Linked DNA regions of Mus musculus: all the other regions are reported to be linked to region 2. Evidence: microRNA targets listed by miRTarBase, many of them from high-throughput screens and not tested one by one. Region 2 holds a microRNA gene; each other region holds the end of a gene's coding sequence.

What was found. Region 2 holds the annotated microRNA mmu-miR-503-5p (UAGCAGCGGGAACAGUACUGCAG, at 4,619-4,641, shown strand). A microRNA usually pairs through its seed, bases 2 to 8, with sites in the 3' UTR of a target mRNA and lowers its output. Matches are read on the target gene's strand: a 7mer-m8 pairs with bases 2 to 8, a 7mer-A1 pairs with bases 2 to 7 and ends in A, and an 8mer does both.
Region 1: miRTarBase lists Acvr2b as a target of mmu-miR-503-5p. Seed matches in the 3' UTR shown: 7mer-A1 at 5,614-5,620.
Region 3: the mRNA of Tifab is a reported target of mmu-miR-503-5p. Seed matches in the 3' UTR shown: 7mer-A1 at 4,938-4,944.
Region 4: the mRNA of Lhcgr is a reported target of mmu-miR-503-5p. The part of its 3' UTR that is shown has no 7-base or 8-base seed match.

The regions. Positions count from the first base shown.
Region 1 is chr9:119,431,188-119,439,203 of GRCm38, reverse strand. It overlaps Acvr2b (activin receptor IIB), which reads right to left. Exons shown (of 11, transcript NM_001313757.1): 8 at 7,866-7,980; 9 at 6,577-6,715; 10 at 6,361-6,491; 11 at 1-5,937. The coding sequence ends at 5,743. Among named protein-coding and RNA genes, the nearest start is that of Exog, 9.8 kb to the left of the region's middle.
Region 2 is chrX:53,050,652-53,058,667 of GRCm38, reverse strand. It overlaps Mir503 (microRNA 503), which reads left to right and starts at 4,614; the gene lies at 4,614-4,684. It overlaps C430049B03Rik (RIKEN cDNA C430049B03 gene), which reads left to right and starts at 1,478. Exons shown (of 4, transcript NR_038185.1): 1 at 1,478-1,670; 2 at 1,899-2,010; 3 at 2,504-2,526; 4 at 3,178-5,556. It overlaps Mir351 (microRNA 351), which reads left to right and starts at 5,315; the gene lies at 5,315-5,413. It overlaps Mir322 (microRNA 322), which reads left to right and starts at 4,319; the gene lies at 4,319-4,413.
Region 3 is chr13:56,169,044-56,176,689 of GRCm38, forward strand. It overlaps Tifab (TRAF-interacting protein with forkhead-associated domain, family member B), which reads right to left. Exons shown (of 3, transcript NM_001168615.1): 3 at 4,660-7,590. The coding sequence starts at 7,585. The coding sequence ends at 7,142. Gm31657 (a long non-coding RNA gene) reads left to right here. Exons shown (of 8, transcript XR_382472.1): 2 at 1,787-1,884. Among named protein-coding and RNA genes, the nearest start is that of Tifab, 6.0 kb to the right of the region's middle.
Region 4 is chr17:88,735,547-88,743,562 of GRCm38, reverse strand. It overlaps Lhcgr (luteinizing hormone/choriogonadotropin receptor), which reads left to right. Exons shown (of 11, transcript NM_013582.3): 11 at 426-6,289. The coding sequence ends at 1,569. Among named protein-coding and RNA genes, the nearest start is that of Lhcgr, 52 kb to the left of the region's middle.

The DNA.
Region 1 (8,016 bases), not on the chromosome of region 2:
TCGACAGTTAGAGCAGAAAGCAAGCAGCCTCTGGGATGAATGGCCCCGACTGAAAGGGGCAAAATTTGCTCAGCAACTCTCCACTTATTTCCACCATGACATCCATGTGCCCCGCCGTTTCCAAAGGATGACTCAGTTTGGTCCTAGATAGTTCTGGTTAGTGGAACTCGGCCACCAATCCCCATTTCAATGGTTCCTATAGCCCGAATCATTCTCTAGGCGTGGGGCACACAGCTTCTGTCCTCCTGCTCTTTAACTTGCGGGACTACTTTCTACGGAAGGAGCTGACAAACTTTCAACCTCAGAACCCTTTGTTCAGCAGAAATCAAACCAACTCCAGGTCCCTTGCCTGGCCTGGCTGCTGTCCTCTCACAGGCAGGAAGCAGGACAGATACCACTGCCAAAGGGGAACCCGTAAGCCAACTCCAGGCTGCCAGTGTATTCAGGAAGCTATGCATGCACTAAGCTAAGCTCCCAGCACTCGGCTCCAGGGTGCACATAATCCTGACAGTAAAGCTCATTGGCTTGGATTACAGACGCATTCTCACTTCGACTCACTAGTTTATAAAAATAATCTGTGGTATAAAACAATCTCCATACTGTGTGGAGGCAATCTGTCAAGAGATATAACTAAATATATGTGTGGAGCTATAGACTTCTTAAAGTAAAATTTCAAGTGGCGTCTGTTATATAACTTACTCTTATTTACAGCACTATCTAACAACACTGGTGTAAAGTGACCAGGAGCCAGAATGGGCCCATGCAGGGTGGGTGCCCCAGGACTTGAGGCAATGCTCGTTTATTCACAATAACCCACCTTCACGTGCCTGAAAAAACTAATGGGTCACACTTCCCCCAACTGTAAACTCAAAAGCACAAAGTCTACAACCGAATGCAGTAACTGTTCTCTGCAGGTGTTCAGAACACCCGTCTGAATCGATTACCACACGCACCCATAGGGCTGCACACACTAACTCAGCCTAAGCAGTGTAGACACCGGCCTGGAGAGCAAGGGGTCAGCGCAGAGCCCACTACCCCTCACCGGCATGAGGAACAGGAACTTTAATTCTTGGGGAAATCATGGCCCGGAGCTGCCGTGGATGGGGGAAATGGCGCTGGTCTGGGCACTAAGGAGCTCCACGGAGCACCAGGAGGGCAAAGTCTTGCTTCCTTCACACCTGGAAGATGCCAGCATGAAAATGCTACAGCTTGGTTTAGTGCCAGCAGACGCAGGCATTCCTGATCTCACTGCAAACGGTCAGCCCAACAGTGGTTCACAGTCATTAATCACAGATAGGTCCAAATAGCACTATCCCAAGGATCCCACAAAAGAACTTGGGCATACTTATTGATACGATAGTTCACGCGCCTCTTAAACTCTCTTTCCTTCTTCCTTTCTTCTTTAACGTGGTTGAACCAACTAGTTGATTTCCAAGGGAGTGTTTTGACCTTCAGTTTCTTTTTCCTATAAAACTAAATTGGTATCGCAAAAAGCACTTTCCTCAACATCTTTCTAAAGGTCTGGGGTACATCCACAGGAGGGCTGCTGGCTACGAGTCAACTACCCAGAACTGTGTGTGAAGAAGAACTAGGCATTTAATCTTGAATGCATGGAGCGTTTAGCATCTAGATTCTAAGAAACCCATCAGCTGAGTTACTGGGCCTACTTATATAACATGATGTTAGCTGAGGTTTAACCTCATCACTGCGCTGGACAAGCCAGCTGCTGAGCACTTCTCAATTTAGCCTTTACAGACAGCCAGGGATGAAGAAAAAGCCATGTCTCCAGGTTCTGAGAGGAAAGGATTCCTGGGACACCATCCCTTCCTGGCGGTTTCCCACACTTTTAGGAAAGCTGTCCTCTACAAGTCCTGCCTGAGATGTGGACCAGGCTTGATCACGTCCAAAGCTGTGTCTCCAAAAGCCCAAAAAGATGCAACAGCTGATGCCAGAGACCAAGCTGAGCGACCTGAGAGCTCCTCAGATTCAGGGATTCATCTAATGAACCATGTCCTAAGAACAACGGCAGGAATTCAACTCACAGCACAGTAAGCTTTTACTGCATTAGTTAAGTAGGAAAAACAACGAGGACATTCTCCTAGCCACCAGGATGCACCAGGAACTTCATACACTACAAAGGTAAAAGTCTGTGTGTGAGAGAACCAAAGTCTGTGTGTGAGAGAACCATCCGGCCCTCCAGCTCTAGATGGGACAGTCACTTCTTTGCCTCAGTGGCCGAGCATAGGAAATGCCACATGACAGGCTCTCTGAGCCGAAGAGCACATGGCAACCATTAAATACCTATGTAGGCTGGCCACCAAGAAAAATCCTTCACAGAGCCTAAGCCCTAGGGCAGAGTAGGGTAGAGTAGCAAGACAGAGAGTCAAGGGCATGGTCAATGCCAGGGATGAAGAGAGACCAGAACAGACAGGATCACGCACCTTGCTAGAAGCTCAAGCCTGGTCAGGAAGGCCCAGCAGGCCTGGTAGCCCAGTGATGAGAAAGGGATCCGCCCTTCCCTGTGGATGTATGAGCAGAAGGCCCACATTTCCCCCTGCATCTGGTGTCCGTGATACCAGGCCAGCCCATGCTAGCCCATGCTAGCCCAGATGCTAACAACTGCTGACAGCCTTCCTCGGCAACCTTGTCAGTGAGTGTTCGAGACTCAGCGACCTTGCCTTTACTTGCTTTGTCTGTCTCTGACTCACAGACATTTCCCTCAACAGGTGACTTTTCGCTGTCACAGGTATCAACCGGAACATTCTCTGCCAAGGCTGGTGGTCATGGGCTCTGTTTGGAGTGAAGGAAGGAGGAAGCACCCGCAGCCCTTCCCCCCCCCCCCCCATGTCTCATCCTTTGCCACACAGAGGGACTTCCTCCTTGGTCGTCCAAAAAGAGGGAGAGGGGAATAGATACAAAACCTGCAGGAAAGTGTGAGGCAGAAGCCTCAGGTCTCAACTGGGCACAAGAAGGAAACTAGAAGGAAAAGAAGGGAGGGAGGAAGGAAGTTAAGCTTCCGGGCCACACCCTGGAATATCACCCACCTTCCAGCTATGAGCAGCTGGGTATGTTACCTGAAGGCAAGAGGGAGTCTACAGCCCCTACTCAGAGACACCAGCACCCAAGCTCCTCCTCTTTCCTGGCCACAAAACAGGAACCCTGTCTTGACAATCAATCCATTCTGACAAGAGGTCTGACAAGGACACTGCCGTGGCTGGACACAGGGCTCACTGGGATGTCCCATACCAGAGCTCAGCCAGGCCAGGATGCTTCTGACAACCAGCAACACAAGAGAAAAGCCACCCAGGGTCCTGACACCACTCAGGGAGCTGGGTTTTAGAGTTTGGCACTGTATGTGACTGGTGACTGGGTCACTCCTGCAGCGAAAGAGCTACATTCCTTAGTGGTTGGTTTGTTAAGGGTTAGAAGAAGGGGTGTTCCCACCGCCTGAGGAGAAAGCTAGAGAAAGGAGATATATGGCACTTTTCAATAAATAGTTAAAGCTCCTTAAAGAAACAAATGGAAAAGAAAGCAACTGCTCTAAGACTTGTTAACCAGTGGAAAGTATTCTGAGACAAGAAAATACCACAGCACAAAATCAGATGGGGTGGGGGGTGGGGGGGAGGGACAGACATAGCTTAGAGAGACAGAGTCCACGTCCCCTGAACTCCTCAGCCAGCCCACACTGACCCACGGAAACATACTAAGTCTGAGAGGAAGGGAAACCACTTAGCCTTCCTCAGCACCCTGTGCACAAACACCCACAGAGAAAAACAAGCCCAGGAACAACTCAGGCACCACACACAACACGCCGAGGGAGCGGCTGCCCAGCTGTGAGCCGTGCCCTCCCAGACATCACAGCGCAGTTACTGGCCGGACAGAATTCCACCTGCTGCTGCTGCTGAAAGAACTGAATGTCACAGACTGTTACCTCCGGTGGGTCTGAGGGCCGTGCTACCACCAAGGTAAAGTGGGCGTGTTGTTCCAAGTGCTACCCAGTGGACCTCTAAGCAATCCGGGAGGAAGTGGCCTATCTACCCTCAAGGTCAAGAGGTGTGCAGTTTTAATGATACAGTCAAAACCAGATGAATGCCCGTCTCAGCCCAGACAGCCAACCTACAGCTGGTGCCTGCTATTCACAAGGGCGCTTTTATCAAACAAAGATGGTAGTACTGACTAGAAGACACAAACTTTTTTTTTCTTTTTCTCTATTTCTTTTAAACTTCCTCGTCATAAAAGTCAACTTACATTAAAATATACTTCCTACAAGACAACACAACTAACAAAATATATAATTAATAAAACATACACAAGTAGAAAATTCTGAGGTATTTCTGGTTTGAGGTGGTCTGTGGCCGTGAAGTTACTTCTTTCACTTTTTAAAATTTAAGCCTCGGAAGCCACACAGCAAAGCATGTGTATATATGTGGATGTGTGTGTTCTGTCTGAAAAAAAAAAAAAAAAAAAACCTTAGCATGTTTCATAAATTAAAAAAAAAAAAAATCCAATGTCGAAACAGCAGCATTAAGAACATTCACCGCCTGGAGCGAGCGAGGTTATGGTGTAAGAGAAACACAGTTTAAGAATATGCACCACTTTAAAAGGGTCTGGAGAAAGCCGCACCCGTGAGCCTCAGAGAGGACTCGGTAATGCCGCACTGCATGGGGCCATGCCAAAGCTGCAGGCTGGCATGGTCCCCACCAGGGATCCTCTGGCCCATCCACGCTGTGCAGGGTCGGCCACAGGCATCTCCCCAAACTGCCAAGAGGAAACTGCAGCTCGGTATTTCCTCCATGAAAGAGCTCTACAGCGTCATGTATAACGAAGAATGTCCACTAAACTGTCACGCCCTCACCTGGTCCTAACACAGGAGCAAGGTTGCGTCTTCTCCCATGGCCAAGCCCGTCAGTGGGAAGAAACCAGACAGGTGGGGCAACCTGACCCTTGCTCTTGGGCCTTCTCCAAATCCTGTGCTTGCTATTATTACCGCTTGGCCTCCACAAGGTCCTTGCCCTCAACCCCTTGTTACCTGAGAAAGTAGCCTCCATAGCCAAGGGTGTTGCTCCAAATGTGCCCAAGTCCAGTGTAGCTCTGCTCCGCACCCTACCCAGAAGCCTCCCTTCTGGCTTCAGACTAGACCGCCCTCCTGATCGCAGTTCCCCGAGGCTGGGTCAGGACGACACCCATTACACCCACGAAGACAAACACAGCCGCCGTTTCTTAAGCTCACGGCCTGAGGTGGGAGAAACGCAAAATAAAGGGGTGGGGGTGGGGGGCCCTCTTCGGAGGAAGGGTGTGTCCGTGTAACAGTCTTCAAAGGTTCCTCTAGTAGAGAACTGCAGCATTGAGTTTCCTAAGACAGGAGTTTCTTTGTGTTACAGGTTCTGAGACGACAGAGAAAGAGGGGAGATGAATCCGAGGGACAGGAGGTGGCTGAGGCTCTTCAGCATGGCGCCGCTTCTGCGTTCACAGCTCAGCACCGCAACGCCTGCTGACGTGTCCGCTGTTTGCAATACAGTAGAACAATATGCTGGTAAAAACTGATCCAATCCAAAAATAATATTATTAATAATAATTATAATAATTATAATAATAATAAAAGTCAAGGTAAAATAGCAGCTGCATTTTATGTGTTTGTTGGTTTTATGGGATTTCCAAAACAAAACACAATTCTTTTTTTTTTTTTTCCTTTTTTTTTTCTTCAGATCCACTGAGTCTGGAGAGACGCTACGTGTCCCGGGCTTAGATGCTGGACTCTTTAGGGAGCAGGTCCACATTGGTGACGGAGGTCACCAGAGAGACGAGACAGTCCGAGGTAGTGCCGTTGACCGACCTCCTGATCAGGGATACCCGCTCTTCTACACAGCCTGCAGAAAGGCGAGCCTCTGCATCATGGTCCCAGCACTCCTCGATGGTCACGCAGAGCTGGGCCAGGCCCTGCAGAGGAGGGGGAGGGGGGAAGAACCCTTGTTAGGGCCACCTAATGAAGGCAGCCAGTGGGTCTGTGTGAGAGGATCAGGAAGGGCCTAAGGCCCTGTCACCACCATCGCAGGTCAATTAGCAGTCCCCGAGACCCCTCTCCTCCCAGTCCAGGAGAATGTTCACTAAACTTCACCACAGGCCGCTCCCCGCAGGCAGCTGCAGCTGCTCATCTTGGGACACTGGGACTCAAGTCAAATAAACACCAAGCCCAAACACAAAAATTTGCCCAACGTTTCCATGTTGAGCTACAACAGGTTCAAGAAAGAGGTCAGGGCCTACCTTATTCTCCACAACCTCTGAGATATGTCCCTAGAGTCCCGGGAACGCGGCAGCTTCCCCTTCACACCGCCCTGTGATTCCTGAGCCCAGCCCCCTCACCGGGTGTTTCAGCCAGTGATCCTTAATCGTGGGCCTCATCTTCTTGTGGACAACCACCTCCTGAAGCTCCTCCAGCGAAGGGTGCTGGCCAATCTCCTCCTCGAAGGGCAGCATGTACTCATCGACAGGCCCTGAGTGATGAGGGGCTGATGGCATCACCCGAAGCCCGGCTCCAAGGCCCCAACCCAGGGTGCCCAGAGCCGCCAAACCACTCACCGTCTGCAGCCTTGCACCGAGAGACGAGCTCCCACAGCACCAGGCCCATGGCGTACATGTCGATACGCAGGAAGGCGTCTCTCTGGAAGTTGATGGCTCCTTCCAGCACCTCAGGGGCCATGTACCGTCTGGTGCCAACCTACAGGCAGACAAAGGGCAGGATCTCCAGAGACCAGCTACACTCACAATCACACTCAGCTGGGAGAAGCGCCATGCACCAGGTTGGGTAAGAGTGGAATTCTAAGCAGGAAGCCTTGGAGCCAAAGCCTGCTCCATCCCGTTTGAGGCAGAGTGAAGATTCCAGCTGATAACTGTGATGACACCACGAGCTGGAGGCAGTGCTTATCGGACAGCTCTGCAGGCCCTAGGACATCCCAAACAAGCTACTCTGAGGCTTTGCCTCTGATGGTACCTAAAGCAAAGCCAGACACTCAGAAGGCTGAGGCAGGAGAACCAAAAGTCCCAGACCAATCTGAACGACAGAGACAGACGCTCTAACAGACCAGGGGGAGATGAAGAAGTGACTTAGCTCCTAAGGAACCTGTCACTCAAGTGTGAAGATGAAAGTCTGGATATCCACATAAATGTAACAACCTGCCTGCAACACGGGAGACAGCGATGGAGTCCACAGAGAAAGCCGGCTAGACTAACTGAAGAGATCTGGGTCCAAGCAAAGGACCCAGTATTAATCAACAAGGTTTTAGGTGATCAAGGAAGGTGCCAGTGACTACCTCAGGCCTCCATTCCCAGACATGCCACTCATGTGGAAACAGAAATACACACGCTAAATAAACAGCAGAAATCAAAAGGCCGAAACAAAATGTCGAGAGCATGTTTAACCCACAGGGAGATTCTCCTAGGATGATTGCTGGCTTAATTTTCATGGCCTTTGATTTTAATCTCGCTTAATAACTAAAACTGAGGGCAAGCAGGTTCCTCGGTAGTAGGTGCTTGATGTCAAGCCACACGACCCCAAGTTCAATCCAAGGAGCCCACATGATGGGGAAAAAAACAGATTCCCTTACACACACACACACACAAAGATAAATATATTTCATATATATACAATATATATATAATAAAATTACAACAGAAAGAGAAAAACTGAAATACAAGGAGGAATTGCTGAAGCCCAAATTGCTAGCCTGGCTGGAGGAAGCCTCACCAACCTCCGGCCTTGGTTTCTTTTCTCTCTTGGTGAGTCTACGTCCCCAGGTAGCTCTATCGCTCCAGCGGAGCACAGAGCATCAGCCGCTCCAGCCCCTCCTCCCAGTGCCCAGGTCCCTCACCTGTCCATGGGTATCCCCAGGAGGCTTCCCTGGCTCAAACCGAACAGCCAGGCCGAAGTCAGCCAGCACCGCGGTGAGGTCGCTCTTCAGCAGTACATTCTTGCTTTTGAAGTCCCTGTGGAGACCAAGCGCCAACTGACACACAGGATCA
Region 2 (8,016 bases):
AGACAAGAGGTGGCTGGAGTAGAGGTTTAGCCAAGAGCTGCTAAGGCAACAGCCTCTCCTTCAGAGTCACGGAGTGAACGCGCTAAGTAGCTCCCACATAGCGCCTTGTACCCAGCACTCCACCTGCCCCTGTGGTCTCTTTTGGAGCCCGGGTGTGTAAGCTGCTGCAGGCCAGCGAAACCCTTCCCGTCCAAATCCTATCTGAGTTTACATCCCACTCTCTCAAAGATGTCTGCAACCCAAGAAAGGTGGGAAGAGAGACGCTGAGTTTATTTATTTATTTTTTAACATCCAGGCTCTATTTTATAAGGGATTTCTCCCAGATTTTTTTTTTTTTTTGAGTCTTTCACAAAGCTCAGACTGTCCTCGAACTTGCTATGTAGCCAAGGACGCCCTTAAACTTCTGTTTCTCCTGCCTCCTCCGAGTGCTGGACTCTACTGGTCCATGTGCTACCATGCCTGGTTTTTCCAGCTTTGTGTTATTGTGACGTTTTGCAAATATACAAGAAAGTTGCGAACGCGGTGCAATGAAAGACTATTGACTCCCCACCCAGATGCAACCTCATGTTAGCTCCTTGAAATCCATTCCCGTTCCCCCTTCTCTCTGAGTGCCTGTCTGGGTCAGCGGCATCATTTGAAAATCATAATCACTCTTATACTTCATCTCTTTACACTTAGGCACAGTTCTTGTCACCCTGGACACCCTGCTATTAACTTCAACACCGTTCTCATACCTCCCTGGTAAACAGCGCCGTCCCTAAAGATATCCAGCATACAGAAGAAAGACTCCCTTTCTTTCCCTACTCCAGACTCAAAACTTAAGTAGTAAAGACTTTCCTTCTTGGACTGGACATGTATAAGTAAACTGTCGTTCCCTGCCTCAGTGTCATGCCCACCCCTAAAGTGGACCGCCAGGACCTAAGGGAGTCCTCTACCTGAGGGAGAGTTTGGCAGAGAGGCCAGAGCACAGAAGACTCAACAGAGCCTGGGCACACTCGCGCGCCTAGCACTTCCCTTCTGCAATCTGAGGGTCCCTTGTTTCCTCATCCTGTTTCAGGCACCCCCAAGAAAAATAGTCCTAAGAGGCTTGGCTTAGCCGCCCTGTACCCTCCTGGTAGCCCCAAAGACTTGGGCCCTAGTGACTTTAGAGTGTCATTTGTGGCATGGGTCTTTGAGCTGGAGCTTGGTTGCTTCCCTTCCCGCTTTTCCCCTTTCCCCTTTCTCCCTGGTTTTTGTCTCCTGCACCCGCGGCTATGAGGCTCTCTGTACGTGGCCACTCCAGGCTCCCCGTGTCCTTCCCGGCCCTTCCTGGCTGCAGGCCAAGGCTGTGGCTCTGCGTGTCCGCACGGCCTCCCCCCTCCCCCCTTCCGCTCCGGGGCCTCCGAGCGAGCGGGCGAATGGTTGGGCGGGGCGCGGAGCAGCGCATGGCCACGCCCCCCGGGCCGGCTTTTTCTAGGGCTGCTGCGGACCACTGGGCGCTGGCTGCTCCCGCTCGCCTCTTGGGGTGCGCTCGGCTCCAGCCCAACTCCGCCAGCTCCGCCGGCTCCAGCACCGCTCCAACCCGATTCCAGCCGGATTCCAGCCCGATTCCAGCCCGGTTCCAGCCCGATTCCAGCCCGGTTCCAGCCCAGCTCCGTCCCGGCTCCGGTTCTTCTCCGCCACGCCTCTCTGTGAGCCCCTCGCCCCGCGAACCCCGGTTCCCCGGCTGTCCGTCCCTCTGTCCCTCGATGTCCCGCACCACCGCCACCTCGCGCCCTCCCAAGTCTCCGCGACTCGCTCTTCTAACCTCACAACCTCGCCACACCCCTCCGCCCTTTCTCTCTCGCTGTCCGTCTGTCTGTCCGCCTCCCCGCCCGCCTTTTCCTTCCTCTCTCTAGCTTCCCCGGCTTGTTTTCTAGGTCGACGCTGAGGAGCAGCTTCGCAGGAAAATCCCAGAAACCTTTGCAAAAAGCTTACAATGAAATTTAAGAAGTTCTACGATTTCGGCGCCATTTTCGAGTGGAGTGAGAGGTGACTTAGAATCTAAAAAAGAAAAAAACGAGGGGGAAGGGAACTTTTTGGCCCGCCTCCCCCCGCCCCCAACTATGTCTCTGGTCACTACAGACTGTAACAGATACGGGGATAATTCTCAAAAAAATGTTATGCGTCGCGCTGGGTGGGGTGTGGGGGTGGAAAGCGTGTCCGGGGGTCGTGGTGGGGGGAGGACAGATCTTTAAAATGTCTAGCAAGTGAGTGTGGCCAGGGAACTTCTCAGAAAGTGGACTGAGAAGAGTAAACGGGGAGGGGTGGGGAGAGAGAAATGAGTGAGGGGCGGGCAGCCTCAGGCTGTCAGCCTTGCCAGGGTGGGGAGCAACTAGTTTTGACAGACTGTAAATGGGACTTTGGGCCACTCATTTGTAAGCAGTAAAGAATGTCCTGGAAAGAACCGTAAAATTCGTTTTCCATTGTCTCTCGCTAATTAAAACTTTTCAAGGTTGTTTAGTTGTTTTTTTTTTTTTTCCAGTATTGGAAAAGTTTGGCTGGAAGGTGCGGAGGACCTGTGCATCATGTTTTGGGTGTGGGGGCGCATGGCATCTGCAACATTAAAAGACAAAACGTTCTCAACTGGGAAGAGAGGAAGAGGCTTAGTCTTTGGCTCTTAAATCATTTGGCCAAACCCTTCGCAGTTCTGAAGTGGGTGGGGCCATTTTGACCCGTCGTGGTTCTGAAGTGGGTGGGGCCATGGTAACCCTAAAGTATTGATTCTTTGTCTATTGTATCAGCGAATGACCCTCTCTAGAAGTGACCAGACATCTCTTTGTGCTCTCTTTTCGTAAGTAAAGTTAAGCCCAAGGGGAAATACACAAACCCAGGGAGTGAGATGGCTTTTTAAGGATATAAGTCGTTGTAGAGTGATGGGAAGAAAAGAAATGGATGAAGGATAATCTAGAGATGAATTTGATTCCAGTGTATTCGTTAACAAAATTATCTAGTAAGACCTTCGTTTTTGATGATGTTATCTCGAATGAATTTTGTTTTTATGAGTAGTCAACTAAGGAAATGTTAAATTAAGAGGAATTGCAATCTCTGATGTGACATTTGTGTGGGACATAAAGTTAAATTGGGAGAAAAATACGTATCTTTAAAGTATAATTGTATCTTTACTAAACACGGCTTTTCTCTCTCCTCTTTTTAAAGGTGACCATCGATGGTTTTTTCCTCCACAATTCCGTGTCCATGTAAAAATGACTTGTAATATAGCCAAGAAAAGACGGAATTTTCATTCCAACTTAAGGAGTGGGGCTGTTATTATTAATGGCTTTATTTATCATGACCTAAGCAATGCATATGTTAGCACTGGATCATTATCTGTTATGTTAGGAATTTTGTATTTAGTTTAATTACATACTCTGTATATTTTATTAATTAATTAAAAGGACCCAGCATTCATTGTACTAGTTTCGAAAAACGGACATAATTTTAAATGAGAATACAGGAAATTTGTATACAGAATGTTTTTTGCTTTCAAAGGCACTGTAGTTTTGTTGTTTTAGTTATTAGGTTTGTGGTTAAGGACTAAAGGATGGTTTTTGTGCTTTCCTGAATGCTTTGTTTAAACAAGGAAATGAATGTAACTTGTTGCTCATGTGTGTCCATTTTGAAAAGCAACAGTGGGAGCTGAGGAGAGCGCACAGTGCCGGCCATTTCAAGACAAGATTTTCAGTGGCGTGGCTTAAGAAGGAGTGATTTGTATTTAACATCAAGTATTTAAGGATGTCATTTATTTAAAGTTCTTGATTTGTGATTTGATGTCGATGGTAACAAATGTCTTTATAAATAAGCTTGAGTAGCCAGCAATGTATGAGAACATCCAGGAATGTATGTTTCATCTAGAACATTCTCATGCTTTGTCCTTAAAAATAACTAATGACGAGGTGATTACTGTAAGAACGGAGGAAACTACTAGACAAGTCTATTCCATGCCTATAGTATTCAGTAAAACCAACTGGGACTACCCAGAGGGATTTTTTTTTGATTATCAAAAGTTCCTTGCACCAATTTCCAATAAATGATCAAAACCCGGGGACAATAAATGAGACTTATACAAGGTAGCAGGAAGTTTCACCAAGACTTTGGAGCTGGCAAGAGTGATCCAGATGTTACCAAATTGTCTCAGTTTATTTAATCCCACTTTTCATCTACTTTCTGAGGTAAGAGTCTCCTCCTCCCCACTATCCACCACACCCTGCTTTCCAACAGTACACCCTTTGCCTCACCAGCAGATCCTGGAAATCACAGAGACTTTCTTCCTTCGCAGGTACCCCAGAGCGGCCCCCACCCTCGTTGACTCCGAAGGGCTGCAGCAGCAATTCATGTTTTGGAGTATTGCCAAGGTTCAAAACATGAAGCGCTGCAACACCCCTTCGTGGGGAATGTAGAAGGTGGGGACCTGCTGAACAGACCTGTGTGGGTTCTACTAAAAGCCCTAAAGCAGGTAGGTGGGAGGGCAGGGGCTTAGTCTAGTGAGGGTCACTCTACACAGTCCAAGGGCCTGGGTGGGTGTGAATAGCAAGGTGGCAATTCACTTGAAGAAGGGACAAGGCATCCTGTACTCAGCCCATCCCACTCAGTCGTGCCCTAGCAGCGGGAACAGTACTGCAGTGAGTGTTTGGTGCCCTGGAGTATTGTTTCCACTGCCTGGGTAAGTCTGGGTCTTCCACATGGGCACACCCACCAGGTAAGTTTCGGTTAGCCTGCAGCATAGGCCCCATGGGAGGGAGACTCTAGAACAGCTCCCAACTAGAGTTGCTGATCTGTGACTCTGACTGGGTGTGACTGAAAGTGTGTTGTTAGCGCCTCACTTGCTGCTCAGGTAAAAGTGAATCAACTGGGAAAAAAAAAAAGCACTTCCTGGTCATCAAGTAGTATACCACCCACAAGAGCGAAACAAGAAAATTTGTCCTAAGTCCTCAACAACAAAATGGAGAAGGGGTCCTTCCAAAAGGAATAAGAAGGGTTCTGAAGGGCAGGAAGGATGACTTGAGAAAGTCCCCATTTCTCTTTGCAGTTTAGGAAAGATTAAGGGGTCCGTGGGAGTGTCCCTGGATCTCTTCGTGTCTTGCTGGTGCGGACCCCCAGGTGGTACAATGAGAGGCAATGGCCCAACAGGAAGCCTCAGTGAGGCTCTGCATTTCTAGTCCCCATTTATCCCCCTTTCCCAAAGTCATCACACAATTCTACATGGCAGTGGGGACATGGGGACACCCTTGTCACTGCCTAGAAGTCTCTGAGAAAATGGCTGCTTTGTGACATCCCAAACTCTGCTGTGATTAATCATGGCACCTCCGTTTCCCTGAGGAGCCCTTTGAGCCTGGAGTGAAAAAAAAAAACAGGTCAAGAGGCGCCTGGGAACTGGAGAAGAGTGTTAAACTTCTGGAGCAAGACTGTACTTTTCCTGTGAAAATCACTTTCCATAATCTGGAGTATAGGCATGTAAAGGACTGTTGGAAAACGGAGTGTGGGTGAAATCGTGCTGCTTTGTCTTATTAAAAAGAAATAAAATACATGTACACACACCCTTCTGGTCTGTATGAACTGCTTGTCATCTTCCCCAGGGACTGGGTGCAGGCCCCCATAAAAGGTACAGTTAGAGGAGGCCTTGTGAGCCTGGGAGTCTAGCTCTAGCCACCAAATGCCTTTCTCCCAGACTCCTTTGCGTTTGAACAAGGTGTGGGAGGTGGTTTGGGTCCCGTTGGGCCCCCAAGGACCCCCTGGCTCCCAGGAGCACTGAAACCCCTTGGAACTTAAGCCACGCCTTGCCCCCATCTCCTTGGCTTCTTGAAGCCACGCCCCCCAGCTCCTGCCTCACCCCTCCCCTTGGCAGGGCCCCTCTGGCCCGGAATCCCCAAGACAAATGGCTAACAGGTTCAGGCGCCCCGCGTTCCTATGCGCAGGGTTGGAGGAGGGGCACTTTGAGACTTCCTATTCTCCCTCACCAACTTCCCTTCTCCATCTCCACTGTTCAACAGGGCTTTGCCTTATGCCAGAGGAAGAGCGCCGGGGCTCACTGAAGGCCCCCACTCACCCAGAAGAATCTGGCCTGCGCCATCTGGCTGCTTCCAGTGGGTGCCTGCAAGATTCAAGTGAGATTCAGGTGGGTTGGGGACTTTAGAGCAGAGGAGCAAATGATCCAGGTTTAAGGCCACTGACTAAGAATCTAAGATGCCATTAGCCCAAGGTGCCCAAGGGCGCCAAAATTGAGCTCATCCACATAGCACCTGGCTGCGTGGTGCCCTTTTTTGATTTGAAATGCTCTTCGCACCTTTATTTGCCTAGTCGAAGTTATGATGTGCTTCGATTTTCTTCCAAGGGCAAAATGTGAATAAAGCAATATTTTAGCCAAACACTTCTATGTCAATTAAGAAGATGGCAATTCGTTCCAGATTATAAATTCCCTTTAACAACTCCCTAAGGTATTCTTTTAAATTGTTTTTCAAACATTGCTAAATGTGCATGATAATGTGTGGGAGACTTGTATAAAGTGATTCAATTTATGGTCGGCTGATTAATTGATCCTCCATTACCACATTCAAAGAGGCACCTCTCCATTGTTTTCTCCGTTTTTTTTCCCCCAACACATGTTATTTGTTAGTGAGGAAGCTGTGTGCACGTGGCATTGTAAAAGGTTACTAGACAGACATGGCTCTTAAAACTATGAAAAGCTTAGCCTGGCTCTAAATCTAAACTCTGACATTTCTGTAAGTTGTAGGACAAGATATTCAGGTTATTGTGATACACTAGAATTGAACATAATTTTGTAACAATTTTAATAACAGGAATACTTCTGAAGGCATCTTCTGCTAGCCATATTGGTTTGGTTTGGTTTGGTTTTCCAACAAGGGAACACTACATCAACAATCTTGGGGATGTGGACACAGAAGACTCCTGTTCCAAGAAAGTACAATCATCTTTCAAAAACTGTAATTTATATGCGTTTTACCACACTAGATATTGAAAACCACCCAACTAGGGGGGTACAGTATATAACCAGTCACTAGTGTAATATTGTATACCTTTTTAAAATGTTATTGGAAAGTGTTTTATGATCTGTAAGTCAAATAATCCGGCCCCACCGTTTTCATTTTTCCTGCTATTCCCCCAAATCTAGGCTCCTTTGTTCCAGTTGGCATGTAAACTTGTTTTTTCCACCAAATGAGTCAGTCCTGATAGAAGCGTCAATTGATTTGAACAGATGTGTGTCAATGTTACTTGGAAAAACTAGATGCCAATAACCAGGGCCACAGAAAAAGTCAGCAAATGTAATTGTGTAAAGCATTTATGCATGCACGCAGACAAGGAGAAAAGTTGAATCCTAAACAGGAAAACATTTGGATACACTCCAGTGCTGGGAGACCAAATAATTCTGTGTTGCTTTTGATGTCCAGTAACATGGGCAACTGTCCAATTAAACAAACACCCAAGAAGGACTCTGCAATGCCCATTATTTTACTGATTATTCTAAAGCACCATACCTGTCAATCCATTGAGGAGGAGGGAACAGCAAGGGAAACATGATGAATCTACACGACATAAATTAATTAATAGGCAGATTTCCTGAGAGACGGTGCAGATTAAAAAAAAAATACAAATAGGTTCAAAAAGTATGCTTCAGGAAGATCAATGAATATATATTGATAGAGATCAAAAGACTTGAGCTGTGGGCATTACCAAGTTAACATTAATTTCTAGAGATCTATTTTCCCGTTGTCCAGAAGCATTTCTCATGATGCCAGAAACTTATACGTTCATCTTTATGTAGAGTTATTGTATGCCTCTTAAAACGAAACACAGTATGTATACACCAATCATAGCAAATCTGTATCTCCGAGGCCCAGTTCAGCCTGCCTTATGCCCATCCATTGAGCTAGGATCTCCTGGCTCTGTCCTAATATTTCACTCATCTGTTTCCTGCACTGGGTCCACAATTGATATCCTCCTCAAGTTTAAAGGGGCTTAGAGCCTTGTGGGAGGAGCCTC
Region 3 (7,646 bases), not on the chromosome of region 2:
AGTTCTAGCAACCAGACTACATCATACTGACCCCTATGGAAATGAGGACTTAATGTGCCACAGATAACTGTCCCATTTGAAGGTCCCAGCACTGACGTGGAGCTGGATGGTAGAGGGCTGTTCTCAGTGGGAGCAGTCAGGGGTCTTTCTGGAAGGATCTGATGGCTAACGAGATAGTTGGCACTTAATGCATTGTCCATGCACTAAGTTGCTTTATATGTTGGGTTCCCCCCCCCCCCGACATCTTCACAGAGGTGGGATAGGCACTAACAGTATCCCCGTTTTATAGGTGAGGAGAAGGTGGCATGTGTAATGGAAGCTTCTAGAATCAATGGAGAACAGTGAGGATTTGAGTATTGGTCTTCTTTGGACACCTCTCTCTCTCTCTGCTCTGTGCCATGACTCCCCAGAAGGAGGCCGTCAAAGCAGGGCACTTTAGCATCCAGATAAGAATGCATGAGAGCCAAGCCAGACCACACCTGGCTTTTCTTTGTGTGTTACTAGGCTGTACCATCTGCTTGCCCACAGGTGCTTAGGTGGGAGAGGTTGGCAATGAGGTCCCTATGACTGCCCCCACACACCCTACTTGGTAGCTATCCTAGGGCCTCAACAAGGCTAAGGAAGACTGAGACAGAACACACAGGGCTTGCGTTGGAGTTTGGTTGCCTGCGTGTCTAACGTGTCTCTCCTTTCTCTGCTCTGTGCTGCAGGGACTCAGACCCTTCAGGTAGCCCAGTCTCAGGTTGCTTTGCCCGATGCTTCTGCCAGAGGGAGGTCTATTAGAAGGTGGTGGGATCATGAGAGGCGAGAAACCCAGACATCTCTAACTCTTCTTGCCAACTCAGGAGCCACCTGTGGCCCCAGCTGGCCACCAGCCGTTCCTCCCTCAGAGGCCTCCATTTCCACAAAAGGCCTTCCTGGTTGTTCAGGACAGAGCCTGGTTTCCCTGATACCCCTTCTCTCAGTGGCCACTGAAGTTACAGGGATGCAGCCAGCCGTGGTTGCCATGTCTGTATATGCTAATCTCCGAATTCCACTTCCTGTTTAGATTCTCAGCAGTTCTCCCGTGCTGGGCTCCAATCGCTCAAATTAAAATTCTTTTTGTTGTTGTTGTTTAATACTTGAAACTGGGTTTGTTTGCCTGACTTGGTCCTGGATGATTAAAACCCTCTAAACAAGGATATGTAACAGTGTCCCTGTTTGAGACCGACTCTTTGGAAGACTTCTAGCAATCATGACATCTGAGCTTGCAGAAAAGAAAACCAGAAATGTCAGGCCTGGCTAAGCACTGGCTTCTTGGGTAACCTCTGCTTTTGAAGACCCCCTACCCCCATCCCCCGTCTCCATAGCTTTAAGAGAAGGTAGAGCGAACATCCTGGGCAGGTCTCCTTCCAGGAGGCAGAAAGCTGGACTCCAAGTCTGGAGCATGGGGGCTTCTCTGTGCTGATAGTACGCAGAGGGATTAGGAGGAGAGAGGGAGATCGTCTGTTTCTCTGGAGCCAGGTCCACACGGTGAGTTCCTCGTTCCCTCATGGATGCGATCCTGACTGGGTGTGCCCTTTCTCTGGCTCCTCCTTGCTTCCAAATGTCCAGAGTCGTGCCCTTCACAAAGACTCTCTCTAAGATGGGTTTCTCTCGGGGATGGAGGCCATTTTTCTCCTGGAAATAAATACCAGAAGAACAGGGAGAGGTTGTGGTGGGGTTGAGTTGCAGCCTCTCTGGAGGACAGAACAAGCTCCCTTGCCAAATGGTACTTTAATGTCCTTTTGGTTCACATGCCTTACAGAAGAAAATGATTCTACTCCTCTGCTGCGGCTCACCTGGCTCTCCGTCGCTCACTTGGGCTGCTTCTTTCCCACCGGAGTAAGCGATTGGAAAGCAAAGGTAAGCAGGAACAATTTTTCCCCCTCCGTTTTCCCCCACCCCCAACCCCGGCAGGCTTAATGCCTCGGCCATAAAGCGTTTACAAACTCTAAAGAAAGATAATAACTTCCCTTCTCACGGCCCAGTCGCGGGGAGGTAGTGCATGTTTCCAATAAGCTGGAAATGTAACTCAAATAGTAGGTTTTATTTCACTTTAATCCGCCTGCGAGTTCACGTTAAAGGTAAGAGGAATCAGTCTTGCAATGTGAACCAAGTTCATTAAAATCAGCATCTCCTCCTAGGACTTAACTCCTCCCCCCAAGTCTTGGCTAGATGGATGACCTGGGGCAGTGGAGAGTGACTACAACCCAGAGGCCGTGGGCAGGAGCAGGGGAAGCAGGAGCCAGTGGATGGAGTAGGAGGCAGGTGCCCCAGCTGGTTTGGGGGTGTGGGGGGAAGAGGATGTACATTCAATGAGGCTTGCTTGCTTGCTTGCTTGCTTGTGACACCTCTTGATGGATGGCAACCTGGTTGTGCAGTGGGTAGTTATAGAAATGATTCTCAGGCCGTGTCCTCAGCTCTACCAGACACTAGGAGGACTGAAACTGAGCCCCTCAACTAGGGCTTCCTTTCCACATTTATGGAGCCACTGCTCCCTGGGTGCCCTGGTGGTGCTCCATCAGTGCCTTGGTGGTGCTCCCTCAATGCCCTGGTGGTGCTCCCTTGTTGCCCTGCTGGCAAATTTGACTGTTGCTTCTTTGTGTAGCAATAAGTATTCCTTCAGGTTAAGAACTATCTTGTCCAGATCTCTGGCAGGGTGGTCTCCTGGTGCTCTATGGTCTCAAGCAGGGCTGGTGTGTATAGCTGGCAAGCTTGCAGAGCAAGGTGGGTATTGCTGGTGCATGCTCGAGAAAGGGGGCCAGGGAAAGGATATTTGTCAGGTAACTGGCCTGGTTCCGGGCTAGCCAACTGACTCCTGACAGCCACAGCTAAGGGCCCTTCTCAGGGTCGCCTGGGCATGCCTGTGGCCTTGCCCCTCTTTATTGGAGGCTGAAAGAGCTGGTGAGAGGGAGCTGTCTCCCCTTCTCCATGACAGTCAGTCACCATATAAATGCCCTAAACCTGGGTTCCACTTAAGTTGGGGTACAAAGGCTCAAGGAGGAAGAAAAAGGAAACACTGCCAAGTTCTCCAAAGCCCTGGGCTGCCCACTGAGCAGGAGAGGGAGGGACAACTATCTTTCGAACTCCCATACTCTCCGGTCTCCTGGACCTTAGGGGCTGCTTCCATTGTGGGACTCTGACTGCCGATGCCTGCTTTGTGAAGTCTGCTTCAGACCTTCATTCTCACTCTTGGCCTAACATCCTCTGGCCAGCCCCATCACGGCCACTGGGAGTGCAACAGCCTTGAGAGGATACAGAGACTCAGGCAGGCTGGGAAGAATCACATGTCACTGAAGCCCAGGCCTGTGAGGATAAAATAGCCTCAAAAGGCAGGGCAAGGCAGAAGTTCTGAATTTCCAGACATCGTCCGTCTCCAGATCTGAGGGCTCTGCGGTCCACCTGATCAGAAGGGATTAATTTATCTTATGGCAGGTGTGTTTGCAGCATATGTATATGGGCAATCGAGTCCACAGGACCACAAGTGCTTTACTTGGTCCACTGAACTGGCCAATGCTCACTGACCCTCCTGAACACCTACTGTGTGCCACAGGCACGTTTACATGCAGTGCTTCAGTTTACCTCTACAGGGCCTCTCATGTAGGAAGCACAGGTCCAAAGACCATGGGATGGTGAGTGAGCAATGTGAGTTGTAGCCCAGACAACAGGCTGACCAGAGCCCAGCTTGAAGCTACTGGTGTTTTGTGCATATGAGTGTCTGTGTGTCTGTATGTTCTGTTTGCTTCCATGTGGTCACGCCTGTGGCCACACAGACTGCACTGCTGGGAGGGGGAAAGCCGAGGACATTGTTAGGAGATGGTGAGAGGGGACCCTGCATAGGCAAGAGAAGCCACGTCAAATCCCCAAACCAGAGTCTTGAAGTCAACCTGCAAATTTCAAGGGATAGAGGAGTAGAATAGGGGGCGTGAATCTGGCAGCTCGAGGCTTACACTTTTCAAGGGGAGCAGAGTCTAGCAGAGTTTCCTCTCTTGAGCACTTGACACAAGCCAGGGGCGGTTGGTAACTGAATCACTGGGGAGGGTAGATGCAGGACAGTGAGTGCAAGTCTGCTCTGAGCCACACAGTGAGACTGTCTAAAAAAAAAAAAAAAAAAAAAAAAGAAGGAAGAGAAAGAAGAGGAGGAGGAGAAAGAAATTCTCCTGAGGAGACTTTGTGAAACAAGCCAGATGTTTCCTGGCTCTTCTCCTTCCTGTGTCTGGCCTGTCACCCTCCAGCTTGTTCTTCAGTGTGAGGACCGCACAGACACTTCACCCAAAATCCTCCAACCACACAGTCTCCATGGGGGAAGTACTCTACTCTAGCTCATGGGCCCTTAGCAGGGACGGGGTTGTTGTACCCTCCTGGAGGGGAGAGGGATGGAGAGAGGCAGTCGGCAGCTGTAGTCAGTTCTACAAGTTCTCAGAGGGGCCAGGAGCTGCACCCAGAGAGCCTGGTCCCTTCAGCCTTTGGTGGCCACACACTGTCTCTAAGAGTGTCATCTCAAGCTTTGTCTGTGGGCAGCTGCTCTGTGATAGGCAGACTGGACAGCACTTGAATCCTCCAGGAAACCCGTGCTTCCTTTAGAACTCATCAGCCTGAACTACCGGCAGTTTCTACTCTCCAGAGCCAGGAATGTCTCTTGTTCTACAAACCCAGGTCTTTTAATACAAAGGCAGCTAAAACAAAACAAAACAAAAAAAACAAAACAAAACAAAACAAAACAACCAAAAACCAAAAACCAAACCCTTTTCCTCCCTCCAGGCCCCAAATGAAAATAAAATCCTTAGAGAGTCACAGAGTGTCGAAAGCCCTTGAGCTCTGGAGCCAGATCACTGGGGTTCAAGTCGCCCCAAGATCCAAGTTTGTAATAAGCTTAAGGAGTATATATTTTAGCTTCCCTGTCTTTGGTCTCAGGATAGCAGCCCCCCCCCCTTTTTTTTTAATTCCTTCTGGCACTAGGTGTTTTCCAGGTCCCACTTCCTAAGATACTCTCTGCTGTTCCTGCAGGTTGGAATACTCATCGTCCTGGCTTTCCAGAGGGAGACATCTAGGTCACGGTGGGCTAACTCACTTGCCTGAGGTCACCCAACTCACAGATGAGATGGCCCCGGCTACTGACCTTCTGAATTTTACTGTCCTTACCTGTGGACTATGCTTGAGACCAGTGTCTATCTAGGGGACTGCAAGGAGTGACTAGGCAGTGACAGCTGGCTCCAGCACTCGATGGCCTATTACACTGTGACTCGACCAGGAGAGGGATGAACATATAGAAGTGTTAACATCAGACCCACTCGATGATAGGGCTTAACTCCAAGTGAACAGAGGAGAGGGAAGATAGCAACAGCCATGATAAATAATTAAGCTGTCTGTCCCCGAACGCTTCTCCCTCCTGAGGCAGGCAAGCTGATGGCACGCAGATTCTCCCGGCTTTGTTTATTCCTGGATCCTGAGACTTTGGACATATTGGGTGTGAGGTGGGCACTTGGTGCAAGTTCATTGACAAATGAGGGAGAAAGTACTTTGGGAGTCTTGGGGGGAGGGGGACACGCCACTCACAGTATAGCCAGCACTGTCGCAGGTAGGTAGACACACGTCTTGTGTCTGTGAGCTGAGTGCACACAGTCTGTATTCTGTAGGAGGAGGGGCTTCCCAAGCCCGCATGTATCTTGTCTAGTGTTAGTTTCCTTATGGGGAAGACATGCTCAGCTGGGGAACAGTAATGATCATATGACCTAGGATTTGGGCACAAAGGGGTACGGGGTGGTATATGGCAGTGGTGTTCCAGGTGTTGAGGATATGGATCAGTCTGCTGGCAGCACTGTCCCCTGAGTGTTTGGGGTACTCTAGTGTAGGATCTGGTGGTATGGTGTTTAGCAGAGTCTGTGGGACTCTCCTTCTCTCACATGAGTAAACACCCCCCCCCCCTGCTAGCCTTCTGCTCCCTTCTGAGAAAATTCTCCCATCCTTGCCTACTTAGCTCCTTAACAATCCACCATCACCCCCATTGTCCGTTCAGGAAGGATAGGTACCCCCCTCGTCCCCTGCTCCCCCTTCTTGCTGGCATATGATTTACTCTGAGTGAGGTAACTGCTAGGTTGACTTCTTATACAACCTTGCATCCCAACCATAGAATTAGTTCTGAAAGAGCCCACTTCTCTAGAAAACCATAGACCTTTGACCTCTGGCCAACCAAGGCTCTGGTCCAGAAGGGATAGAGGATGGGAGGAGAGGAGAGGGAACAAGAAGAGGGCAGAGAGGAGGAAGAGAGAGGAGGAGGAGGAAAAGAAATGTCCAAACAGTCCTAGCTTCTAGCCCCCCTTACCCCCACCAAAAGCCCCGAGTTCTACTTGCAACCTTCCCAGAAACGTACGCCTACCTACCTTCCCAATTTCCTCTCACACCTCATCCAGGTTTCCCGCCCCCAAAGCCACATGACAACATGGTATACATGTGGCCCATCTGGGCCTCAGGGGATCCTACTGGGCATGCCAGCATAATGAAATACTTTTAGTTTATTAAACACAGGCTTTCCTAAGCCCTGAGCGCCTGTGGGTATTTGAAAACTGAAGGGAACCCGGAGCTACCTCAAACGTAATTTCTCCCTGTGTCCTTGCATTCCTGTTTCAACCCCATGTTCCTGCCCTTCGGCAGAAGAACATAAAGTAACTCCTCGCCAGACAATGGAGGAAATGGGGGGGGGCACAGAATGCTGGGAGAGGCTTCCAGAACCCCTGGGGGCCTCTAAACGTATATGAAGTTCCCATTACACAGAGCTACGGAGGGCATTTCTCCACCCCATGGGCTGCTCAAAGTTTACAGAATCAGTTCCCTGTGAACATGGCGGCCAGCAGGCTTTACATGTGAACTCTGTGTGTCAACCTCACAGGATATAGCTCTACCATCTCAAACCCTATTTTTGTCAGGTTTGCTCTCAAGCAGCAGGGCTAGTGGGGTGCATTGTCTGAGGGCCCCTTCTGCAACTTTGTTTCTATTGCTTCTTCCGGGCTTGGCAGGGAAGCAGCTGTCTGAGACTGGGAGGGGCTGTGGAGAGACCTCGAGAGTTCATGAGTTGCCTCCCCCAAAACAGGGGGAGTCTCTTTCTTAACAGAGTTTTCCCGGTTCATTCATCTGTCTCCTGAGCCTTGGGTCTGTAAATCAGGGGTGAAGGGCTGAGATGGAAGTAGCAGACAAAGGTCTCAAGGGAGGCTCCCCCCTCTTTGCGGACTAGCATCTGGATGCCAGAGAAGGAGATTCTGTTGATGGTGCCCAAGGGAACCTGCTCCAGGTACCTCAGTGGCAGCCCGTTGACCCACACACAGCTCTTGCGGGTCAGCACCTTGAGGCAGAAGGCCAGCAGACTGCTGCCTTTCTCCAGGTAGGGTTCCAGGGACAAATGGTAGCGAGACAACTGTGGCAGCTGCAGCTGGAGATGGGTGTTCTGTCCTCGCCCAACCAACAGCCGGCTGGCGTCATGTTGCAGCTGCTGTGGGACGTGGGCAAAGGCGACCGGGCCCTGTGTAGGGTGGTACAGGCTCACCTGCAGGACTGTGAGGGGCCTCTCCATAGATCCTGGGAAGAACATGACAAAGACACACTTCTGTAGTTTTCTGAGCCCAGGCAAGCTG
Region 4 (8,016 bases), not on the chromosome of region 2:
CCATCCAATCCCACTGTGTGCTACTATAAACAGCTTGTTAGCAATTTGGTTAGCAACTAAATAAGATGAATAGCTAAGAAAATGTCAAGAAGGGACTTTTTTTTATTTAGTGTGTATATATTATGTCTCTAAACTTGTTTTTCAAAGAAAATCATTCCTTGTAAAGAGCGTCATTAAGTCTTTGCATCAGGGTGTTAAGCAGATATATTTTATAGTGTCTAGATAGCTTTTCATTTTCTTTTGAAAGAATTCCATCAAATGAGATAATTTAACAAATAGATGTAAGGCTAAGACCATGATGGCTTTGTTTTGTTTTGTTTTGTTTCTTGAGCTTTAAAAGCCCACTAAAGATTCTTGAATTTCTTTTAATACTCAGAATCACGGGAACCGTTTCTGTTTCCCTCAAGCCAATGTTTGTCTTGCAGTTATTCTGCCATCTTTGAGGAGAATGAACTCAGTGGCTGGGATTACGATTATGACTTCTGTTCACCCAAGACACTCCAATGTACTCCAGAACCAGATGCTTTCAATCCCTGTGAAGATATTATGGGCTATGCCTTCCTTAGGGTGTTGATTTGGCTAATTAATATACTAGCCATCTTTGGCAACTTGACAGTCCTCTTTGTTCTCCTGACCAGTCGTTATAAACTGACGGTGCCCCGCTTCCTCATGTGTAATCTCTCCTTTGCAGACTTTTGCATGGGGCTCTACCTGCTGCTCATTGCCTCAGTAGACTCCCAAACAAAAGGCCAGTACTATAACCATGCCATAGACTGGCAGACAGGGAGTGGCTGCAGTGCAGCTGGCTTCTTTACTGTGTTCGCCAGTGAACTTTCTGTCTATACCCTTACAGTCATCACTCTGGAAAGGTGGCACACCATCACCTATGCTGTTCAGCTGGACCAAAAGCTGAGGCTGAGACATGCCATCCCAATTATGCTCGGAGGATGGATTTTTTCTACCCTGATGGCCACATTGCCCCTTGTGGGTGTCAGCAGTTACATGAAAGTCAGCATCTGCCTCCCCATGGATGTGGAATCCACTCTGTCACAAGTCTACATATTATCCATCTTGCTCCTCAATGCAGTGGCCTTTGTCGTCATCTGTGCTTGCTACGTTAGGATATACTTTGCAGTTCAAAATCCAGAGCTGACGGCTCCTAACAAGGACACAAAAATTGCTAAGAAGATGGCCATCCTCATCTTCACAGACTTCACATGCATGGCACCCATCTCATTCTTTGCCATCTCAGCTGCCTTCAAAGTACCCCTTATCACTGTCACCAACTCAAAAGTTCTGCTGGTCCTTTTTTATCCTGTCAATTCTTGTGCCAACCCATTTCTGTACGCAGTGTTCACGAAGGCATTTCAGAGAGATTTCTTTCTCTTGCTGAGCAGATTTGGTTGCTGTAAGCACCGGGCTGAACTTTACAGAAGGAAGGAATTTTCTGCATGTACCTTCAACTCCAAAAACGGCTTTCCAAGATCAAGTAAGCCTTCCCAGGCTGCCCTGAAGTTATCCATAGTGCACTGTCAACAACCTACACCTCCAAGAGTGTTAATTCAGTAACTGCATTACTGAATTGTATCTAAATATGTTCCCCCCAAAAAAGTCCACCCAAATTAGTCACTTTAATATAATGTGTTTTAGAAAAAATATTTATCTTTAAGCACTTCAGGTGAATTGAAACCTGCTTCAAAGGGTGGCCCAAGACACTTGGTGACATAAATTTCAGAAGGGTTTAGAAAATTTTTTATAATAATTTAGAAAGAATAGTTTTTGTTTGTTGAATCTAATATTAAGAAAATCTAAGTTGTTGTCATTTTCCATGTCTCTTGATCTTTTTCACTTCAATCTGTGATTCATGTTGCCATCTCTAAATATATATTCATAACAGACTGGAAATTTAAAGTGGTCTTTGTCCTCAGATAGTTTGATAAATACATTCAAGAGATGCACTGTGCAGCGTGATAGCTGTTAGCCTTACATGGTAAATAAAAGTTTCTTAGCCATATCCCAAGTGCTTCGTGGGTCTCACTAGTAATAGGAGGCACAGATTCAAACTGTTTTCATCAGTGCAAGGAATTCTATTAGACAGCTCTATTCTAGAGACTTCTATTTCCCATTTACACTCTACTCACTTAGCTTTCCATCTGAAGGCACATTTCTGCATACTTGTTTGGCTTACAGAGCATGAACCCCTTGTGGGCAGGAACCCACCTCAGTTTCCTCATCTCCTATCTGGGGATCTTGGAAATGATACACAGCAAGTGTGCCTAGCTAGTTAAACTTCTAGAGATACATGGAGAAATGTTTCTTAGTATATTTTTTTGATCGTTACAGGCTTTATGTTTTTTTGTCCCCATCCCGGTATCTCTTCTCAGAGTTCTTCACTCCCTTTTGCCTCTGAGAGGGTGCCCCTCCCAGAGAATTCCCCCTCCCCTAGGGCATTAAGTTTCTGCAAGATTAGGCACATCCTCTCCCACTGAGGCCATACAGGGCAGTCCTCTGCTACATATGAGCCAGGGGGGCTTCAGACCAGCCCATGTATGCTCTCTGGTTGGTGGCTTAGTCTCTGGGAACTCCAGGTGTCAAGGTGAGTTGACACTGTTGGTGTTCCTTTGGGGTTGCCAACCCCTTCAGTTACTTCAGTCCTCCCCCTCACTCTTCCATAGGGTACCTTTGCACCTTTAAGAAAACAAAATATTCAAATTTTTAAAATTATTAACCCATTATTTCTATGCTTGGCACTTTATTGGGAAATATATCTAATATTGTCAGAAGCACTTGTTACTTCCTACAGCTGGCTCTTGCAGGACACCCGACTGATAGGTCTCACAGCGCAGCTTTTGTTTGCCCCTTTTCCTTCTTGATTGAAAGTTCATTACACACACAGCATCTTGGTGAGTGTATTATATAATCTCACCAACTGAATCTTCAGAAAACTCTACAGTTCAGATGCCATTATATTATACAAGAAAAAAAGACCATCACCATTTTTGAAAGTACTGAAAACTAGGAAAAGATTCAAGTAAAAAGATTCAATCTCAAAGGTCCTCACAAAGCTTAGCCTCTTTAATGATTCCCATACTGTTAAAAAAAATTCATTGTTTTCCAAGAGTTACTTTGCGTTGAAATAAATTTTAAAAAATTGGATACACTGACAGATGGACAGACAAATACTTATTAGGTAGCTAGGTTTTGTTATTTAAAAGCTTATATACATTCAACGTTCTTTAAGTTTTCCCAATATTTTATTATGAACATTTTCAAATGTACAGAAATGTTGGAGAAACTGTATAGTGAACACCCATACATCAACACTATTTACAGCAAGCCATATGTTACTATATTGACTTTCATACATTACTATGCAATTATCTGTTATTTATCTGTCAATCAATGTCTTACATATTTTGATATTTTAAAGTAATTTGCAGGTATTAGTCTTACACAAGAGAATACATTATACACCCCCGTGTAAATGAATGTCAGTACTCATATTCACTGAGTATAATATATAATATTTATTTACGTTGTTGGTATAATCTTAAATGTGCCACTTGAGTTTTGAGAACAGCACACACCTATGTCAGCCACACTGTGTCAGGATTTAGTCTAGTTAGTTAGAGAGTTCCTCACTGTGGATGATGGCCGATATTCTCCACAGGCTAGTGTTTCCTGCCCTAGATGGCATATAAATGCAGGTCTATAAAACATGTGCTTTTTCACATGGCTTTGGACTTAGTTTATTATTCTTACTATTCATCCACTTGATTGCTTGAATCCATTTATTCCTTCTCATTGCTAACTGAAATTCTACCGTATTAATATTAAAATTCCTTTCTCCTACTGATAGCTATCTTGGCTATTTCCAGCTTTCAACTTCCTGTGAGCATTTTATTAAATAAATGTCTAACCATAACTAGATTCAACACATTTACTTTGCTTTCATTTCTTAAGTCATTACATAAAATGATTCAAAGAAGATTGTAAGATTTATAAAGAGAAATCTCTTCTGTGTTTACATTTATGACCTCTCTGCTCCATAAAGAACGACTTGGTTCAGGTGGAGTCCTTTCTTGCTCATCTTAGAATCTGTCTCAGCAACACATCAGAATACTAACTCATCAAACTACTTATATAACTACATGATAGTCTTTCTGATTCATAAACCCCAGGAAAAAAACAATGTAGTAAGAAAAAGTAAACAGGCACTCTGGTTTCTGACTCCACCTGTAGCAGATCCTCTGCCACAGGAATCCATACCCAAATAGTGCCAGGAGGGAGGGAGCCTCCCAGGAGCACAGACAGGCCTGTGAGTGCAGATAAAACCACCACTGCTGCTCAGCAGAACCTGCCTGGAACCCTCAAGACACAGGAACCAAGGGGCTGCCTGGAACAGGAGTCTTACAGTCTCTGTCTGCACCCAGAGCTGATCCTGTGCCACAGAGCTACATATAAAAATACCGCCAAGAGAGAGCTGGTCTCCCAGGAGTGCCTACCCAACTGAGAGCACAGGTAAAACTACCACTTCTCTTCAAATTCCTGGCCCAAGACGGACACTCACAGAGCCATCAGGACACAGGAAGCAAGGATCAGCTGGGGACAGGATCCTTCTGGTCTCTGCACTCCAGAGCTTACCCTGTACCACAGCTCTCCATACCCAAATTCCTCCCTGAGAGAACTGGTCCCCTGGGAGTACTGACACACAGGCTTGCAGGAGGGACAAGCCACAGTCAGAGACAGCAAGACCAGCTAACACCAGAGATAACCAGATGGTGAAAGGCAAATGCAAAAAATCATAAGCAATAGATACCAAGACTACTTGACATCATCAGAACCCAGTTCTCCCACCACAGTGAATCCTAGTTTCCCCACACACCAGAAAAACAAGACTCTGGTTTAACATCACATCTCATAATGATGATAGAGGAATTTAAAAAGGACATAAATAACTCCCTTAAAGAAATACAAGAGAACAAAGTAGAAGACCTTAAAGAGGAAACACACACACACACAAAACCCTTAAAGAATTACAGGAGAACACAACCAAACAGGTGAAGGAACTGAACAAAACCATCCAGGATCTAAAAATGGAAATAGAAACAATAAAGAAATCACAAAGGGAGACAATTCTGGAGTTAGAAAACCCATGACCTCTTACATAAATAATGGTCCTTATTTTCTACATCATAACTGAAGTTTTAATAAGTGAAGTCATAGTTTGCTGTCTCCTTCATTTGTATATCCTCCCTCCCATAAGCTTTATGTTTGAACTCTCCTCTAACCCAGCTCTTTACTCTGTGTCCTAGAGCCACACATGCAACTCAAGACGTTTCTCCACTTACTCCTGGACTTTGCTATAACTATATAATTTGTATTTCATACCCAGTCATTTCTGGTTCCTCATCACCATTCAAACCACTGATGAACCTTCCTAAAATCCTATTTCATTTCAATACATGCCTGCACAGAGTCCCCAAGGAGCTCCTCGGCGCCTGGATAACTGCCTACTCCTAGGCTAGCACTGAGAGAACTCTAGAACCTGTCCTCAGATCTGCTCATCCGTTCATCTGCTATTTTCTTCTTGAAGCAAATGGACTCAGTGACCCTTCCCAAAGCCATTCCCTTCCACTGCCATGCTGGAGCCCTTCTCTGATGTATTATACTTCTTAAGACATCTCCTCTGTGTAAAATAAAGGACGTGACAAATGTGTAACCCATCACGGTCTCTCTACAGACTTCTTTAGCTACACATCTGTATGCTGCATGTGAACTACATGCATGATGCCTGGAGCCCACAGATGCCCTGGCATTGGAGCTACGGAACATTGTGAGCACTGTGTGAGTGCTAGAAATCCAACCTTGCTCCTCTGGAAGAATAATTGGTGCTCTTAACCACTGAGCCATCTCCCTATCTCCTTTAGACTTCTTGAGCATTCTCTATCACTCTTTCCCTTCTATTTATCCTGGCATATTAATTACGTACACAAACCGATCCTTACTTCACCTGTGTTAGCAAGAAAAACTATTTTAACACATCTGCTTTTCAACTTAGTTCATTTTTAAAACAGAAATATAAAACTGCTATTGTTAAGAAGTATTTCATGTTGGAAATGTCTAAACTGTGTTACTGTCCTGTATAATCCCTCACATCTAAATCATAAACCCTCAATGAACTCATGACTCTTTCTTGTATTTTCTCACCATGTTAGATATTGTTATAAATCGACTGTAAAATGTCTTTAAAATATTCATCATCCTGGAATAAACCATCTAAACTTATAAAAATAACTTTAAAAAAACATTGGTATTTGGTTCTCGGCTTACTACATTTGTTATAAAGGGCTTGCTTTTACTTTTTTTTAAATGTACTAAGACTAAATATAAATTAAGAACCTTTCTCACAAAGGATTTCAATAACTAGGCTCATATAAGAAATGACCTTTTCTTAGCTGGGAAGATGGCTCAGTTGATCAAGTACTCACCACACAAGCATGAGGACCTGAGGTCAGAACTTCGGGACTCACATAAAAACAGGGAGCAGAAATGTGCATCTGTAATCCTAGCACTGATTAAGAGATGTGGACAGAAGCAAATTTCTGGAGCTCATTGATTTACCAGCCTAGCAGAATTGGTGAGCTCCAGATTCAATGAGAGACCTTGTCTCAAAAGCTCAGATGAGAGTGATGAAGGAAGACACTCAGTGCTGACATCTGACCTCCATTCAGGCACTTTCTCTCTCTCTCTCTCTCTCTCTCTCTCTCTCTCTCTCTCTCTCTCTCTATCCCTCCCTCTCTCTCTCTCTCTCTCTCTTTCATATACACCACATGCATGAAAATGATTTTCCTCAAAATGAGTGATCAATTACCTATAGTCAACCAGCCTGAAAATATTAGATGAAAAACTCCAGAAATAAGCAATTGTCACAGCTTTGGTTGACCACTTTCCTGCATGGTACAATGAAATCATATCACCACACTCAACCACACAAGGACTGAATCATGTTTTTTGTCCAGCATATTTACACTGTACTGTCGTTTAGCAGACACCCTGGTTATGAGTTTCTCTGTCACAATATCACATCAAAATCACCTTTGTTTTACTTAATGACAGGACAGAGTGCAACTGTGGTGATGCAAAGATGGCTCTAACACAGCAATGAACTATGTAGCATTGAACCTGTGTAGAGAAAGACACTGCCGTGACTTCATGCACACACTGGGGTCTTGAGATGCCTTATTCTTGAATAAGGATGTTTTACCACATTTTTAATTAATATCTTTCCCTGTGAGTTATACTGTACGCTTCCTGCTTGCAGTTTGGATTTCTAGTTATAAATCACAGTGTTCCCAGTTGACCTAGAAAATATTTACATGGAAAACAGTATAAGATTAACCTGCTAGAGTATGAGTTAAAATAAAGTCCTGCTAAATCCCCTCCCCATTAACATAACTAGCTGTTGCTCTTCTCTCCAAACTTCCTAGTTCCTTCACAAAATTTAAATGACAAACACTGAGATGTGAGTTAGGATTAGAAATGTGGTGCTCTGTGAAGCCTGTGCTGTGCAAAGGACTGTTTGCACATCTTCGGCACTGACACAGGTCTTCTGTACACTGAATAAAACAAGCAAAAGAAGACCAGGCAAGGTCGATTACGTGGTCCCTGCGAGACTAATTCTGTGCAATTTCAACAAGATCTTGGCTTGCAGGGAAGTAAAAAGAGCATTTGATAGCACTTGATCAGACATGAGCAGAAGAAAGGTTTGCAAAGTTCTCCAAGTACACTGGCACCAAATGAGGATGTATGATGTTCTCACAGACATCCAACACAGCAAACTCTACCCTCCCAAGACACACTTTCTCCACTATAAAAGGGTATATGACAACATCTATTAAGGTATTGTCCACAGACTTAAAAACTCGCATTATGGTACTTTGCTACAAAATGCAGTAAGAAATATGGCTATGTGGTGTAAAGAGTTAAAGGGGAATACCTGAATAGAGAGGCTAA